Linked DNA regions of Styela clava. The main gene of each other region encodes a partner of the protein of the gene in region 2 in a complex. Links are inferred from orthologs where the notes say so. Each region holds a gene or a part of one and is shown on either strand. Other genes may lie near its edges.

Region 1 (8,585 bases), about 5.9 Mb from region 2:
TTATCTACCTCCACATTGGTACATACATTTCTGGCGCGACCAAATCTGTGCCATTGTCATTGCTATCTACCTGGGGAGCATGAGTAAACGAACGAGTCAAATTCAGAGGCTATTGAAGTTGTTTCTTTAGTGCCCAAGATGTGATTGACCGTAATTACATATGGTCATGACCAGCAACTACATTTTGAGCATAATTGACAGTGATATGAAAAAATGTGTAAAATTGCATAAACATAATTAGGTTTGTATATATACCAATTTCATTTGACTGGTAGTCTATGTCTAGAACTAGCACAAATGTGCCCACATCCTGTTGGACATCTGCCTTTGCTATGTGGATAATTAAACCAATCTTTCATGCAATCTATATGTCCACCATGACAACATCCTTGGCACCATGTATACAAACTTTTCACAACTAACTGGCACAGTGAACATTTTATACCAGCCCCCATGCCTGCTTGTTTATGATCATTATCAGAATGTTTTGAACAACTCCATGGGTTTGCAGTTGGCATTCGTTTATGGCAAATTCCGCAACAGGTGTTTAGGGTGGATGAAGTGTTCATATTCTTTATGGAAGGAAGTGTGCTTAAATTAATAATCTCAGTGAAATGGTTCCATAGTTCATAACGACTGACCAATTCCAGATATGAATTTTGCCAATGTTCCAGCAGATGATCGTCAATAGGAAGACTTATTGAGGGATAATAATGACCCAGGACAATCATTGTACATGTTATAATTTGAATGTTGTTGCCGTTGCTTATCATAGACTCGTACATTGAAGAAAGCAGTTCAGTTTTACGACTGATTGACAAAGCAGGGTTTTCATAGGGTCTGGTGTAAACCACAGGAGATACTGATAATTGTTCATGTGGAGATGAAGATTGTGAATGCAGGGAGACAGCTGAAGGGCCAGAACTCCGACTATTATTCTTCTTCCTCCATTTTTCAGGGTTATGATTCTGCTGTGATGTTGAAGATGGAATCATAACAGGAACGGCAGTTATTAGTTTCTCTTCTTCTCCACTTATAGCTGGATCAAGCTGGTTTTCAAAACCATCAGTGGCAGTTAGTACAAGTCTCTGTTTAAAAGCTTCAGATGGAAGTGTAGCATCACTGATTGTATCGCTAAGAGGATACCAATCCTGATCCATGTATCCTTCTGGTCCTGAAGAAATACCACCGTGATGACCTTTCCCAAAGTCCTCACTCAAATCATACTCATCAGAGTAATAACACTCTTGTTCAGATGTAGCATGGCCCTTTGCTATATCTGTCAGGTAATGCTCAGTCTCTGGATCTGAGTGTTGTTCGGATTCTTCTCCGTTGCTTTCCCCAGTAACAATCCCATTTTTCATAGACTCTCTCCCAGTTTTAAGACTGCTTATTTCTGCTGAGTTTGTATGAAATGTAGTAGAGTTGCTTCGTTCTGTCTTTTTTGTCGAAACTCCTTCAAAAAACCTTTCCAAATATCTCCATATGTTTGCATCAATGCTCATTTGAAGATCATCACAAACTTTTGCATTGTGTAAACATAGTTTATTAAATGCCATTCCTTGTAGCTTGTATTGCTGGGCGGCCTTGATAAGACTTGAAGGATGTACGTCCGAGGAAGTAGGAAAGTCATCTTCTTTGATAGGAGTGATACTGTGTATCCCAAGCTCTGATTTAGCATTTAGAAATCGAGCAAATTTAATATTCATACTACTAGTAGACAATGTGTTTTGTACCCACGAGTTTGTATCCAGTTTTGGAGCGACCCCAACAACAGTTCTAAAACCAAACCGTGTCATTCCTTTAGTCTTAGTACTAGGTATGGCATCATATGAATTTGTACTATCAGTGGACGCATGTCCTATATATCCTCTAGCGCTTACAGAAAGACCAGAAATGTTACAGTGTTCTGATGGGCGATGTGCATCTCTAATGGAATGTTGATATAGAGTCCCATCTTTAGAACATGAAAATAGAATTTCTGGATCATTTTTTTTCCACGCTATACCAGTTGTAACATCAGTGTGTTCTGTAAAATGAGCAAACGGCATGTATGGTCGTCTCATATCCCATACATTGATAGAATGGTCCAGCATCATTGCTACACTTGCAATCTGTTCTCGTCGTTGCGTTCTCCACCGAGCCATGGCAACTAAAGAATTTGTTGGTATCACCATATGCTCAGACATTTTGTGATCTATCATATCCCAAATTTTGACTTTATTGTCTCTGCCTCCTGTTGCAATTCTCTGTTTATCTTTGGCATCCGGATGCCAATCAATTGAATAAACAGATCCTTTATGGGCTATGAACTGCATCAAACAGGAACTTGTGTTTCTGAAATAGAAAATTATAATAATCAAACTTTTGTCATATGAAACTAGCTTATATTTCTCGGTCATGACTTGAAAATTTGTTCAACTTGCAATGGTGTTTACATTTCATGATTAAATTCAACACGAAGACTTTTGAACCAAAAGCATAGAAGATCAAAACTGATTAATTCCAACTTTTAACAAACTTAAGGCGTAATTCACCTGTAATCCCAAACTTGAACAGAACCATTGTCAAACGATGCCGCAAATTGAAAATATTCATGAGGAGAAAATTGCACACATCGAACACCATCAGTTTTACTGGAGAAACTGGCAATACATTCCTTTTTTCTCATGTCAAACATTTTCATTGTACAATCTTGAGAACCACTAAGCAATCTCCCAGGCTCAGAACTATGAAAACATACTTTTGTAACAGTCCTTTTATGATCAGTAAATATTTCGAGTTGTTTATTTCTGCCTGATGCACTTAAGTCCCATGCAATGATAGCTCCATTTGTAGCAGCAGTTGCGATTAAACTTTCATTTAAATGATTCCATGCCACATCAGCACAGCTTAAATTGAGCCCTTGTCTTCTTCCGACTCTCAAGTTTATTTTTTCCTTAAAACAAGTGTCATCTACTGAATATATTTTCAAAATAGTTCGTCCAGCAACTGCTATCATAGAGCTGTCTTTGTTTGCTGCTAGCATGTTGATAGGTCCACCCACATCAACATACATTGTGCAATGTTGGTTTGCATATGTTACTCCATTTGAGATATTAGTGCCAAAATCTGATACTATTTGATTTCTCTTCATTGTCTATACCAGTATGCGGTATTCAATGGATTTAATCAATGGACCTGTAAGAGATAAATTTATTCAGTCAATTATTTTTTATCTCAGAGTCTTAATTTTATTCAATTATAACGTATCAATGTAATGTTTTTGTGAATTGACCAACTACAGAATTTGGTACCATAATTTCATCAAGAATAAAACCATATTCTGACTACTGTAAGACCTGTCTATCTGAAAAGCTAACCCACAATTCCTGTCAGGTGTCATTCTGCAGAAATTCTGGGTCTCGTGTAGTTTCGTATCGTACCTAACGTACTTCTAGCGGGCGTAGCATAACAATTTTTGGGTCTCGTCTAGTTTCGTTCCACAATAACTTCTAGTGGGCGTGGGTAACAATTTTTGCATTTATGATTCCTGACTGCGTCATCCAAAAATTCGTCACTATCACGAAATACTGAAATAGAGCTTGCCAAAGGGCGACGAACACCCGTCACAGTGCCTACAAGAGTGCAAGTACATGCCTCTCGTAGGATCGTTTCGCTGATCTCCTAATTAACAAACGGAACTAAAGCGAGACACCTATTTTCACCAAGCAACGTTCACGGATCCTCATCTGAACAATTTCGTGGGTTGACACTGGATATATTAATTAATTTACATTCACGCAATTAATCTAGTTTGGTACAACCGTAAATATATACTACTACGGTGCAACACACCTAAGGACTTGTTATTTTTAAGCAATAGGTCATGTATTGTGCCACACTTTATCAATGAGGTGCTATACGTTTTCACTCTAAGAAAGACTTCAGACAAGCAAAAAGGGACATATTAATTTACGTCCACGCAGAGGGTGTAGTTGGGTACCACACACATAAGGACTTATTATTATTTTTCACTCTAAGCAAGAAAAGTGCATATTAATTTACGTTCACTTCGGTACCACACACATAAAGACTCATTATTTTATGTCCAGCGATAGGTAATGTATTTTGCCACACTTCATCAATAAGGCCTTATACGTTTTCACTCAAAGCAAGGCTTTAGACAAGTAGAACAAACATATTAGTTCATGGTCACGCAGGGGGTGTAGTTGGGTGCCGGTTTTATTTATGGCACCTCAGAACTCGGCATCATCATAGCAAATTAGGTATGGGGTTACGGTGACAGACTGACAGCTTTGTGTGTTGGTCGTAGCCGCAGTAGAGCTAAATGACTCGTTTGTTTTATGAATAAACTTTTTCGTGTAAAAGTATGTAAGCGTATTCTTGACGCCGATCGAGCAGTGATGTTTTGCAAGTTTGAATCAACGCCATATGCGTGGCATACCCATGAGCATAGCCCTGAAAATGTCGTTTCGTTTAACTTCAGGCAGAATTTCCAAGATTGTCGACTACAATTAGTAAACTAGAAAATATATGTAATATATATTAATGTACGAAAAAAATTTCATGCAGTTAGATACTATGCAATATACAACAATCTTTCAGCTAAATATAACAGTATTTTTTGTCACAAAATTTCTTATTTTTCAAAAATAAGGAAGTCTTGTAAATAGTGTATTTAATCAGGAGTGTGCAAACTTTCCCGCCGGCGGGCCTGATATCAATACTTGGGTAAAACCGCGGGCCGCACCTTCATTTAACATAGGCTTTCTAAAGTAACAGGCACAAAATAATGTCTTTTTTTATTGATCTTATGGCATTATTATGGGTCGTTGCAAAAATGATGAGTTGACGCATAAATTTATCAAACTGTTATTCAAATTTATTGTCACTCCAAATTTGAACGAATTCAGTGGGAAATTTGCTGCTGGGTTCTTTTCCCGACTACCTTAGCCAAATTTGCTTTAATGGAAATGCTAACAATTTGATATTCATATTTCGAGGCTTCGAGAGATGTTTCCGGTAAAAATCGCCAAGATTAATTTCCAAATAATTTGCTGTCAAATCTTATTCTAAATTAGATTTAGACAAAATCAACTGATAGGCTGAAACCAAAATTTATTTAACTTTTGTATTTTTTAATAATATCAATTAGGAGATATAGGACCCTGTAACGCCATAGGCATAAACAGTGAATTGGGCTCGGATACGAGCTTTGCAACGCACAGGGAACCAGATTATAAACTGAATTACACAATTTCGATGGCCACACACCATCAAAAATTGGCACTTTTCCGCGAACCACACAAATTTCCCTTGTGGGCCGCGGGCGGCACTTTGCACAGCTCTGGTGTATATGATAAATAAACGAAAGGTATTGAATTACCTTACACAGTACCTGATAAAATATATTATTACTAATAATATAATTGTACGGGTGGCAACAGACTCTGATGACCCCAAAAGGTCGTATCGTTGTCTCCCAGTCATACACCAAAGCATCTGTTTATTTATTATTTATATATTTATGCATGTATTGTGTGTTTCATGGTTTGGCAAATAACAAACTCTCTTTCTCTCTTTCTCGCCCTATAAAATTGATAATTAGGAATATTTTTGTTCTTCTTCCATTCTTATGTTGACTACCAAATGATTGAAAATTTTTATGTGCTATTAACTTTTCCTAATTTGCGTCAGAATTTTATCTCGTGACCCACATAACAATATTTTGCCTTAGTGGCTAATCAGGGTCAGGTAATTAATGAAATTTGGTCTTACTTGTCGGACATGATTAAATTATTATCATAGTTGGTGCCCCAACAAAGTGGCCTCAAGATATACTTATGTAATAAAAAAAATCGGGAAATTATAAATATTTCAGACCGTTGCGTTACTCAAAAACGTATATTTTCATCGTGTAATCGCTTGTCTGAACATGAGCAGTACATAGGAAGCATAATATTATAAACAGATTGTTTCAAGTTGTAGATCGCGATCCCGATCAGCGTCGCTTTCCGCAAAATGTTTTTGCAGTCAATTGTAGTTCCAATGAAACTTCTCTTGTGCAGCTGTTTTTTGCGTTGTTGGCATCAAAAGACAATTATGTGGAGTGGGCAGATATAAACCGTCGGAGGTCATAATCAAACTGACAGAATTGGTTGCTACAATATAAATGTCAGCAGATATTTTCTTTATTATTCGACACTCAACAGCAGGATTATGAGGTTCGAGGACATGTGTAAAATTATTTATTAGACTGGTCCCATACTGAGATCTAGTACGCTACTGATCATCAAAACAAAACCGAGCCAGTATAAAAATAAATAAATATTCGGTTTTCAATGGGGGCGCCGCGCTGTTAAACATAACTAATATATGATTGAATATTTTACATATTGAATTTTTTTATTAAATGTTTTATTGTTTCTCATTTTAAATGCTGTGTATATCGGGCAATAAATTCATTTACCTTTCTATGTCGTTTACTTTCTGTTACGTAGTGTTATGTTACGAACACAAAATTAGGTTTTATTGAAAAGAAGCATTGTTTCCGTGTAAGTGCGCCGTGACTTTTTTTTGCTGATAATTTGGCGCCGCATGAACAAAAAAAAGTTTGGGAACCGATGAGTCATACCCAGAGCAATTCAATATTGTTTTATATCATTTTATAATGCTAACATTGTGTGGGAAAATAGATCTCTCTTCGCCATGTTTCGCATTATTTTTCATGTTTTTCCAGAGGCATTGCATGAACATTGTCATACAACTTAATTTTGTGCTGTTTTTGGTAAGTGGTGAACCGATGTCGAGGAGTTGCCAGGTGGCGGTGTTGAGTTGCCTAAATTCCAAAATTCACAAAATTTGTGATGTTTGGTGCGAAGCCTGTTTAGAGTTGGTGCATCAAAAACCCGCTTAGCCGGGGGCAGCTGCTTGTTATCTGTCTGTCTGTAATATCTGCTGAATAGACTATGTAGTATACGTTGGTTTTCCAGTACCGGTATACGGCCTCGATGAACCAGGAACTGTACGGTACCGGTACCGGTATGTCATTTATTTTTAGAATGTGAGTAGCCTAGAATATAAATTTTTGGCAAGGGTGTTGCATAGAAAATAATTATATATGTAACGTTACATTAAAATGCTATATTTATAACGAAATAGGGAAAATCTTCAATACAAACGGATATATGACGAAAAATGGATTATCATCACTGGGTTTGATATGTATTATTGATTGTTTATACTGTTTTAATTTCTTCGATTACCGGTACCGTAATTGGAACGCAATACATGCAATTGTTTTCCAAAAGAAAAAAAAAAAATTATATAAAACAAAAACTGAAATTGGCTCTGGAATTAAATTTGGCAAAAAAAGAAAATAATCCAAATATTATTATAGCAAATGATTCGAAATGCAAATCCTAATTAATCACCTAAATGAAAGAAATCCTAAATTTGCTAAAAACAAGCTCACAAGTCAAGTCAATACATAGAATAGGATAGGATTTTCAAATTTATCCGGGGAAGAGGAAAGCCCTTAAGACAGCTTGACCATATGGGGTATGGGGGACCACGGCCTAGTCTGGTTACCATTCCATGTCGGGTATGGGATTAGTTGGGTACCGGTATTTTATTTTCGGAAGCATGAACTTAATATACAGATAAAGGTCAATCAGGATGTTAGTTTCTGTGCAACGGCAATTAACATTATGCTTATTAGGTATCTTGTGAAAGCTATTGCAATTTTACGATTTGTTCATCATTTTCATTAGATCGAGTAGTGTTTGAGACATACTGACATACGGTAGGTGGCGAATAGGAAGACTCCAATATAACAGCTTCGTATTTTCCTTATTCTCTGTCCAATTTTTGTATTCTTGTTGCATTTTCCATGCAAAAAATAAGTATGTGGGCTTGTGTAATTGCGTAGATTGAGAATATTACACTATATCTGATGCACCGATGCTTACGTTGGATGTGTTAGCCAAGAAATTTATACAGTTCAGCAGTTATATTGTTATAAGGATGTTTTGTTATGCTTAGTACCCTTACCATTTCGGTATTGTTGGACTTTTCTGAGTTTGAATAACGTCAAGGATAAATACCTATAATTTTACTGCATTCGTAATTTATATCAGTACTGCTGTACTGGAAAATGGCGCAGTCTGTATGGTATGATCTGTTAATTAAAGTTTACTTAGATCAAGCAGTTCGCTTCGTGTCATTTGGAGGTGAAATATTAACAGAATACTGTAATAGGTAGGCTACTGGACTTTTCCATATACATTCTAAAATCCAACTTTACAAAAATCCAACAGGATAGGAATTACAGAATATTGGGACCTCCTGAAGTATGTGCACCTAGATGGCGCACAACCTGAACTCAGGTTGTGTACCAGGTTAGGGTTCCGGTTGTGTGACTTCTTGGTGTGCATACTTCAGGAGTACCGAATATTACAATTTCAATTTTGTTAGGAAGTCAGTTTTTAATCTATCTTAACCAGTTTTGCTTTATTTATTCAGTGCTTATTCGAGTTTTTTTTTACTTCATTTAATACACCTTTATATGCCCACTACTGGCC
Region 2 (7,808 bases):
GACTATAATGTTGGATCATTAAAATATGATGTTGTGTTAACAATTATAAACAAAACAAACAATTTTTTTCTTATTAAACTAAACATTGCACATCTTTGTAATTCACTGAATTGTAATTTGGAAAAAAATTTTTAAACATTGTTTTAAGTCGTATCAACCTCAAAAAGTTTGTAAGGGGATATATTCAGCACGAGACGTCTTATAAATAGATGTGGAATAATTTTGCTTTTAGATTGGAATGCTGCCTTGTTAGAGTTTGTTTCCTTAGTGTAGTTTGAACCACGTTATTGCAATTATAGTGGTTGTGCAATTTATTATACAGTGTGTTATTGCATATAAAATAATCATACTTTGTGAATATTGCATATTCAATAATAATGTAGAGTCACTTTATTTTATGTTTTTGTCAACTATAACTACATCATAGATTTTGCTTGTGATGTCTTCGATACAGGTTACAGGCAGTTAGTGAACCACCATTTAAATGCAAGTAGTCTGACTGTTCTTTCACTTGTGGCCTATATACTCAGGTTCTAAAGTATATTTATCAGTAGTGTTATCGCAATTTCTGAATGAAAAATTAATTGTTGTATTATTGAAACATCACATAAAAGCATTCCCACATTATTGTTCAGATATCCTCCAGTCTGTAAAACATACCTCGTGTTTTTTGAATATGCCCTACTCCCTAGACTTCTAACATCCGAAAGAACTTATAGTTCAAGTCTTTTGTTCACCGACTGCCTTGACCTGAACATCAGTATTTAATCACAAGTAATTCACTTATGGCCCTCTTCGAATACAACGGTAAATTGTCATTTTATCTTTATAATGGTAATCGCAGGATTAATGTCACTAAAAAAAAATTATTTTGACTAGGAAATTAATTATTTGCCACTGTTAGGTGTTATTATTCAGTGAATTTATAATTCTAATTTCAAGTGTCTGTATTATTGCTCAAATATTATCATCAATTCAAGACAATAATTTTATATTCATCACTTTTTTTCAATTTTTCATAATTTGTGTTTCACCAATATGTTTCTAGTCAATTAATTATTAATAAACTAGACCGAGATTGCCAGTTGTGAAGACTCAACCAAACAAAAGTAGGAATAGAGATGGGATGGAAATCTGTCATAAAAACGCTAGTGACTCATTCTGTTCAGTATGGAATTATTTTTGAGGCGGTTGTGATGATATTTTTGTTTTTAAACTGTGTTGAAGATGAAGTGGTTAGTGAAAATGTTGTGATCAGCTGATTATGGAATCCGTGGATTTTTATACTATATCTCCATGTTGAAGATGAAGTGGTTAGTGAAAATGTTGTGATCAGCTGATTATGGAATCCGTGGATTTTTATTCTATATCTCCATGTTGAAGATGAAGTGGTTAGTGAAAATGTTGTGATCAGCTGATTATGGAATCCGTGGATTTTTATACTATATCTCCATGTTGAAGATGAAGTGGTTAGTGAAAATGTTGTGATCAGCTGATTATGGAATCCGTGGATTTTTATACTATATCTCCATGTTGAAGATGAAGTGGTTAGTGAAAATGTTGTGATCAGCTGATTATGGAATCCGTGGATTTTTATTCTATATCTCCATGTTGAAGATGAAGTGGTTAGTGAAAATGTTGTGATCAGCTGATTATGGAATCCGTGGATTTTTATACTATATCTCCATGTTGAAGATGAAGTGGTTAGTGAAAATGTTGTGATCAGCTGATTATGGAATCCGTGGATTTTTATACTATATCTCCATGTTGAAGATGAAGTGGTTAGTGAAAATGTTGTGATCAGCTGATTATGGAATCCGTGGATTTTTATACTATATCTCCATGTTGAAGATGGAGTGGTTAGTGAAAATGTTGTGATCAGCTGATTATGGAATCCGTGGATTTTTATACTATATCTCCATGTTGAAGATGAAGTGGTTAGTGAAAATGTTGTGATCAGCTGATTATGGAATCCGTGGATTTTTATACTATATCTCCATGTTGAAGATGAAGTGGTTAGTGAAAATGTTGTGATCAGCTGATTATGGAATCCGTGGATTTTTATACTATATCTCCATGTTGAAGATGAAGTGGTTAGTGAAAATGTTGTGATCAGCTGATTATGGAATCCGTGGATTTTTATACTATATCTCCATAGTGCTGGAATGTCACAAGCGTACAGTCTCTGGGATACTGCACTATAGATTTTGATTACCCAGGATTTACAGACTCTACTGGATGGCTATTTGAATAGAGTCTTGTCAATGACTCACTATGCCTGCTCAAGTGTGTGAGAATGAACACTAAGACAGTGTTGTTACGGGGCACTCTTTGGATGCATCAATCGCATCCGTTGCTGCCAGAAAATTGTTTGTCGAATGTGCAAAATTGAAGGACTTGTTTTAAAAGAGGGTTTGCTGATGTCAGAAGAGGATCTGCAGATAATTCCTTTTTTCGGGTATTCATCATCAGTAAAGCATTAGATCCATCATTTTCGATTGCAAATAGATTCCCAGTGACTGATAATAATTTACCACTTATTCGCTGCCCTTTAATGCTTTTGTATGTAAAGATGTCATTCCTCGCACACATGGAATGAAACAAAACCAAAAAGTTACTTTTGTTAAATTTTATGCAGTACATGGTTATGGCATATAGATGCACCTGAAATTCCACAGCTTCTCAAAGATGTTAGGACAATCAAAAATTTTCTTTCCATGCTTGTTTAGTATCATTTTAAACAGTCAATTTATATTTTTTGATTCAAGTTTTACAGATTTGTTTATGAGCAATGTTTTTTTTTTATTTAATATAATGTTGATTCTTAACAGTGTCTTGTATTTGCTAGCATAAAACTTTTGGTATGCGGCAGCGGAAATCTAATGAAGGGAATAAAAAAGAACATGGAACAGTGAAAGTTTCGAATGAAAGTATAGATGATACATCATGCGGAAGCAAAACTGTTGTAAAGTCAATAATTGTCTTCACTGTTATGCTTTATGTAGCAATACCTTTGATGTTGGCTTTTATACCACAAATAGTAGAGCAAATTGTATTTATGAATTTATACTATGCAAAGAATGAACCTGCATCTTTATCACAGCCAAGTACTCAATATGAACTCTTTGGTACAGCCTCATTTCGAATGCAATGTGACAATGATGAACTTGGGGTTTGGCATGTTTTACCAAAATCTAAAATGACAGAATATAAAGAAGACGATGTATTGACATCGGATGTAGTTCGTACCCATCTTAAAGATGCAGAACATGTTATTGTATACCATCATGGTAATGGTATGTCAAGAGGAACGGGGGACCATTACCAAAGACCGGAACTATACAAATTGCTGCAATCTCAAGGATATCACATCATTGCATTCGATTACAGAGGATTCGGAGATTCAACAGGCTGGCCTTCGGAAAAGGGCTTAGTCAACGATTCTTTATGCATTCTCAATTGGGTGAGGGGAAGCATTGCAACCAACGCCAAACTAACATACTGGGGACATTCATTGGGATCGTCAATAGCAACACTGGCAGCCAAAAAAGCTGCTGATATTTGTGAGAAAGACCATAATCTGAATACTGGTTATAAAATTGACAATCTTATTTTGGAAGGAGCTCTCACTAATGTTCGACAAGGAGCGGAGGACAGCAGTCTTTCACAGATATTTATGGTTATTTATCCTAAATCTATTTTTCGCTTTGTTCTTGAGAATGCTTTAACTGTTAAGGATATTTCTTTATCTACTATCAATGATATATCAAAAGTGAATTGTCCTATCATGCTCTTGCATGCGGAGGATGATAGTGATATAAAGTGCAAACATAGTGATGAACTTTATGTTGCAGTAAGCAAAGCGACTCAAACAGACAGGCGGAAAAGAATTGAATTTGTCAAGTTTAAAGCATCTCATGGATACGGGCACATGGATATTTACAAGGCACCAGAGTTGCCTCAATTACTCAGTAACTTTTTAACAGACAAAGACAATTCAGACAGGGTTGTTACTTTGTGATCAGAGGAAAAGCCTATCTCGTTGCTCAAATTCATAAATGGTTCTTTTTTAATTTCGTTATCAATATATACCCAAATACAAAGTGGAATTTATGCATGTCCCTAGTTTGCTGTGACTCATAACATGATTCTTCATATATTGTGATTATCAGGCATAGAGAAATGACATGGATCACATTCCTCAACTCGAGTGACATGCCATTTGTAAATAGCTGCAAGAGCTTTTGACGAAAGATTTGTGATCTCAACCAAAAAGTTCAAAAAATAAATTTCTTCGAAGCTAAACTACTTCATTATCTGTGCAGAAAACCTCTTGAACGTTTTGAAAATTATAGCAGCTTGACATTAGTACTAATTTATAAATTGTGTTATATGCCGTATGGTAACTTGACATTGTGGATTATTTTTTAAGCAAATGCACCTATCATGACATACAACAAAGTCACAATAAATTACTTCTCTGTTTAATAATGAAAGTTGTATTCAAACTGCATTTTGTAAATAAAGGGTGCAGTTTTTTTCATTACTTTACTTTTTGGTCAGAGGTGTTTGTACTTTTATGACTGGGCTTTCTACTGAGAAATTCGGGTTTTTACTCAATATTGTTTAGAAAAAAACTTGATTCAGTGGGTTCTCAATACTGTAATTATTTTTTTCAGTGTTTTCAGTTATGAGTGGAAGTGATCAACCATGGATACCATTAAGTATCATGTTATCAATGTATGGCAGTAGAATAACCAGTAAGCTGTTGTTCAGATATCCATACAATAAATCTCAAAGTGATACTCAGCCATTGTCTTCCTACAAACAACTGACATCATCAACTTTTCATCTAAACAGGCAACATGGGTCAGTGTCTGATGATTCGGACGATGTAAAAAAGGCACCAAGAAATGAAGCAGAGCAGTTGGATTCTTTCAGTGATGAACTACTAGCAACTATACTCAGTCCTGGAAACACCAAGATTTGTGGAAAAAAGTTTGACCTAAAGACGAATGGAATCCGTTTTGTAGGTTTCCCTTTGGTTATTGACCAATTCAGCAGTGTATTATCAAAGTTTGATATTTTGGAAAAATATAGGCAAAACATCAAAGAGCATGAAGGTTGTAAGAAAAAGGAAGATTCTACACTTTTGTCATTCAACATTGTGTTTGTATTAAAAGCGGTAGCGGAGTACACCATAGTTGAAAAGTACCAAGAGTTGGCACTACAACTTGGTCTTGCCTTGCGATTTGAAGAAAAATGTTCCGATTACTTGACCCACGAAACAAGGCTTATGCTGTCAGTGCATGACGAGATGTCCTTAGAATCTGAGTGTATGGCAGAGCCTGAACACGCCTATAAAACTATATTAGAAAAATCCCACCTGGCCGACCAGCTTCACATCATATTCAATAGTATTTGTCAAACAGGTATCCTGTCTGTTAAAGTAAACAATTCAACACATATTAGTTTTTGTTTGCCTCACAAAGTTCATAATATGGCTTCGTATGGACAAAATACAATATCTGTTTCTTTCATTGAAAAAGCTATAGAAAAAATAAGGCCATATCATGGCATTCTCATATTTGACAAAAAGGAAATATGGTCGACTTTACCAGATGATTATACTCCATCTCTTACAAGATTATTAACAGTTTACGAACCAACAAAATCGCTCCAATGTACTGCATCTGATGCAGATTTGCCGCTAACTCAAATTTATACTTTAACGTCACAATTGGTATATTGGGGTAAAGCGTGTATTATATATCCGTTATGCGATTCAAATATCTATGTTATTGCGCCATCAGCAGAACTAAATCCAAATTCAGAAGCAGCGAGATCTTTTTACATGAGGTTCAACCATGATATGGTGGATGTGTTGTCAAATTTCTCACTACCAGTTCGTCTTAGTGATTTCCAAACTCCACACGGACTATTTTATGGTGAAGAAGATAAGCTAGCTCAAGTTGTGTTTTGGCTCTTGCAACATCGGTTTTTAATACAAATGCACACTTTTATATATTTCTGCCCTGTTGAGGCTGACCAACAGTCTACTATGAGCGAGCAGAAGCCTCCGATTCAAAATACAGAGACTCGTTCAATTATTGCAGGATTGCCCTGGAAGCAAAGGAAAGCAATTATGGATGTCCATGCATCCAATAGCGCTAAAGATTTGAGATTATTTGTAAATTTGTTGAAATATTTTGATGGAAACTGTCACATGGAAGAAATAATGTATAATGAAAATTTATCAAGAACTCAGTTGCTGGCTTTGTTGGATAAATTTTCACCTGTTTTATTAACAACTTCAAGGGAAGATTCAACTACTGCTGCGTTTTGTATGGGTTTGATATAGATTGTCTTCACTTTATGCATGCAATTACAATTTACATTTTGAGAAAACTGGTTTATTGGCGAAACTACATCAACAGCAAGAATTTGAATTAGTACCCAATTTTATGATCAATTTGCCATTAATCGAAATATATAGTTTTCAAAATATGATTAACCAGCTCTAAAACTTACATTTCGTTTCCATTAACTCTAGAGACACCTGCTTCGCTGCTTGTTATTGAAATAGTGAATACTCTTTTCTATGTAGCTGGTGGTCATTTGCGACTTTCTGTTATTTGAATAGTAAAAAAAATGCAGGTCCATGGTACTTTATAAATACTAATATATATTGCTCCATATAAAATTACAGGTTGTGGTTTAGTTGTCTAACTAAAGGAGAAAGATAGTCAATCACATGTTCCAGTCTTCGTAGAGTTATTTCCAAGCGTCCTTGAATGTCTACGCTAACTCCTCTGACACGAAGTGGCTCGAGTGTATCCTCGGAAATGCTAGTACAGTGTTCGCAATTAAGTGTCTCCAATTCTTGACAATATTCCTTTATTATCTTTACACCAGAATCTGTCATTTTCCAGCACTCTATGATATCCAAATGCTTTAACTTGCGGCAATTTTTTGCAATGGCGTCAAGGCTTTGGTCAGTCAATTGGTTAATTTCTGATATGTTCAAATATTCCAAGTTTGGGCAGCATTTGGACATGAACTCCACACATTCATCATCTAGCAAAGAACATTTCTGTAAATCCAGTAGTTTCAGTTTTCTGTTGTTGGAAATGAACACCATAAAATTGTCGTGGTCAACCCATGTACAACCCTTCAGACGTAAATGAGTAAGATTTTCACAGTACATTCCTAATATGCATAGACTTCTATTTGTTAAACCCTTACATTGTGATAAATTAAGGATCGATAAATTGGGGCAGTCATTTATAACTGGAACAAGAAGGTTGTCGTCTATCCAATCTCCGATATTGGGGATAACAATGGTCCGGAGTGATGAATTGCTTTTTGTTAATATTTCAAATGTGGTAGCATCCGCTATACCATCAGAGTCTTTGATATGGATGTGATGGCATTGAGAAAAATATTCCTCCATCATATTGTGAAGTTGTCGACATACTGCACGTAGCCGGAATAAATCGATCATAGATAAATACTTGAATACATTATGATACAGAACATCATGCCTAGGCAGTGATTCTAGCAAATTAGACTCCATAACTTGAACCTTATAGCTACATTTTCAATATCTGTGCAATTTAAAATGGTTTATCAATTGTTTTAAACATAGCGAGAGGAACATGTTTGTAGGACAAGTAAATAATGCATATGAACAAAAAGTCTTATCCCTCTATTTTGAGCAAAAATTGAAAATGTCATTTTAATATTCAGTGACTTTATTGTTACAACAAAGAGATTTAGTTTCTATTCTAGGATACTGATTCAAGTTT

The links. The genes of interacting proteins can lie anywhere in the genome.
Region 1: GATOR1 complex protein NPRL3-like (region 2) and GATOR2 complex protein WDR24-like share a complex: the UniProt entries of both Drosophila melanogaster proteins name them as parts of the GATOR complex. The link is inferred for Styela clava from reciprocal best matches to the Drosophila melanogaster genes Nprl3 and Wdr24.

Annotation. Positions count from the first base shown.
Region 1 is NC_135253.1:6,287,321-6,295,905, forward strand, and holds the start of GATOR2 complex protein WDR24-like, read right to left. Parts: upstream 3,177-8,585; 5' UTR 3,137-3,176; coding exon 2,538-3,136; intron 2,338-2,537; coding exon 261-2,337; 3' UTR 1-260. UniProt on the Drosophila melanogaster protein: An essential component of the GATOR subcomplex GATOR2 which functions as an activator of the amino acid-sensing branch of the mTORC1 signaling pathway.
Region 2 is NC_135253.1:12,145,637-12,153,444, reverse strand, and holds GATOR1 complex protein NPRL3-like, read left to right. Parts: upstream 1-4,688; 5' UTR 4,689-4,690; coding exon 4,691-6,361; 3' UTR 6,362-6,703; downstream 6,704-7,808. Other genes in the region: lysophosphatidylserine lipase ABHD12-like, read left to right, coding at 2,864-4,021; uncharacterized protein LOC120325627, read right to left, coding at 6,704-7,576. UniProt on the Drosophila melanogaster protein: An essential component of the GATOR subcomplex GATOR1 which functions as an inhibitor of the amino acid-sensing branch of the TORC1 signaling pathway.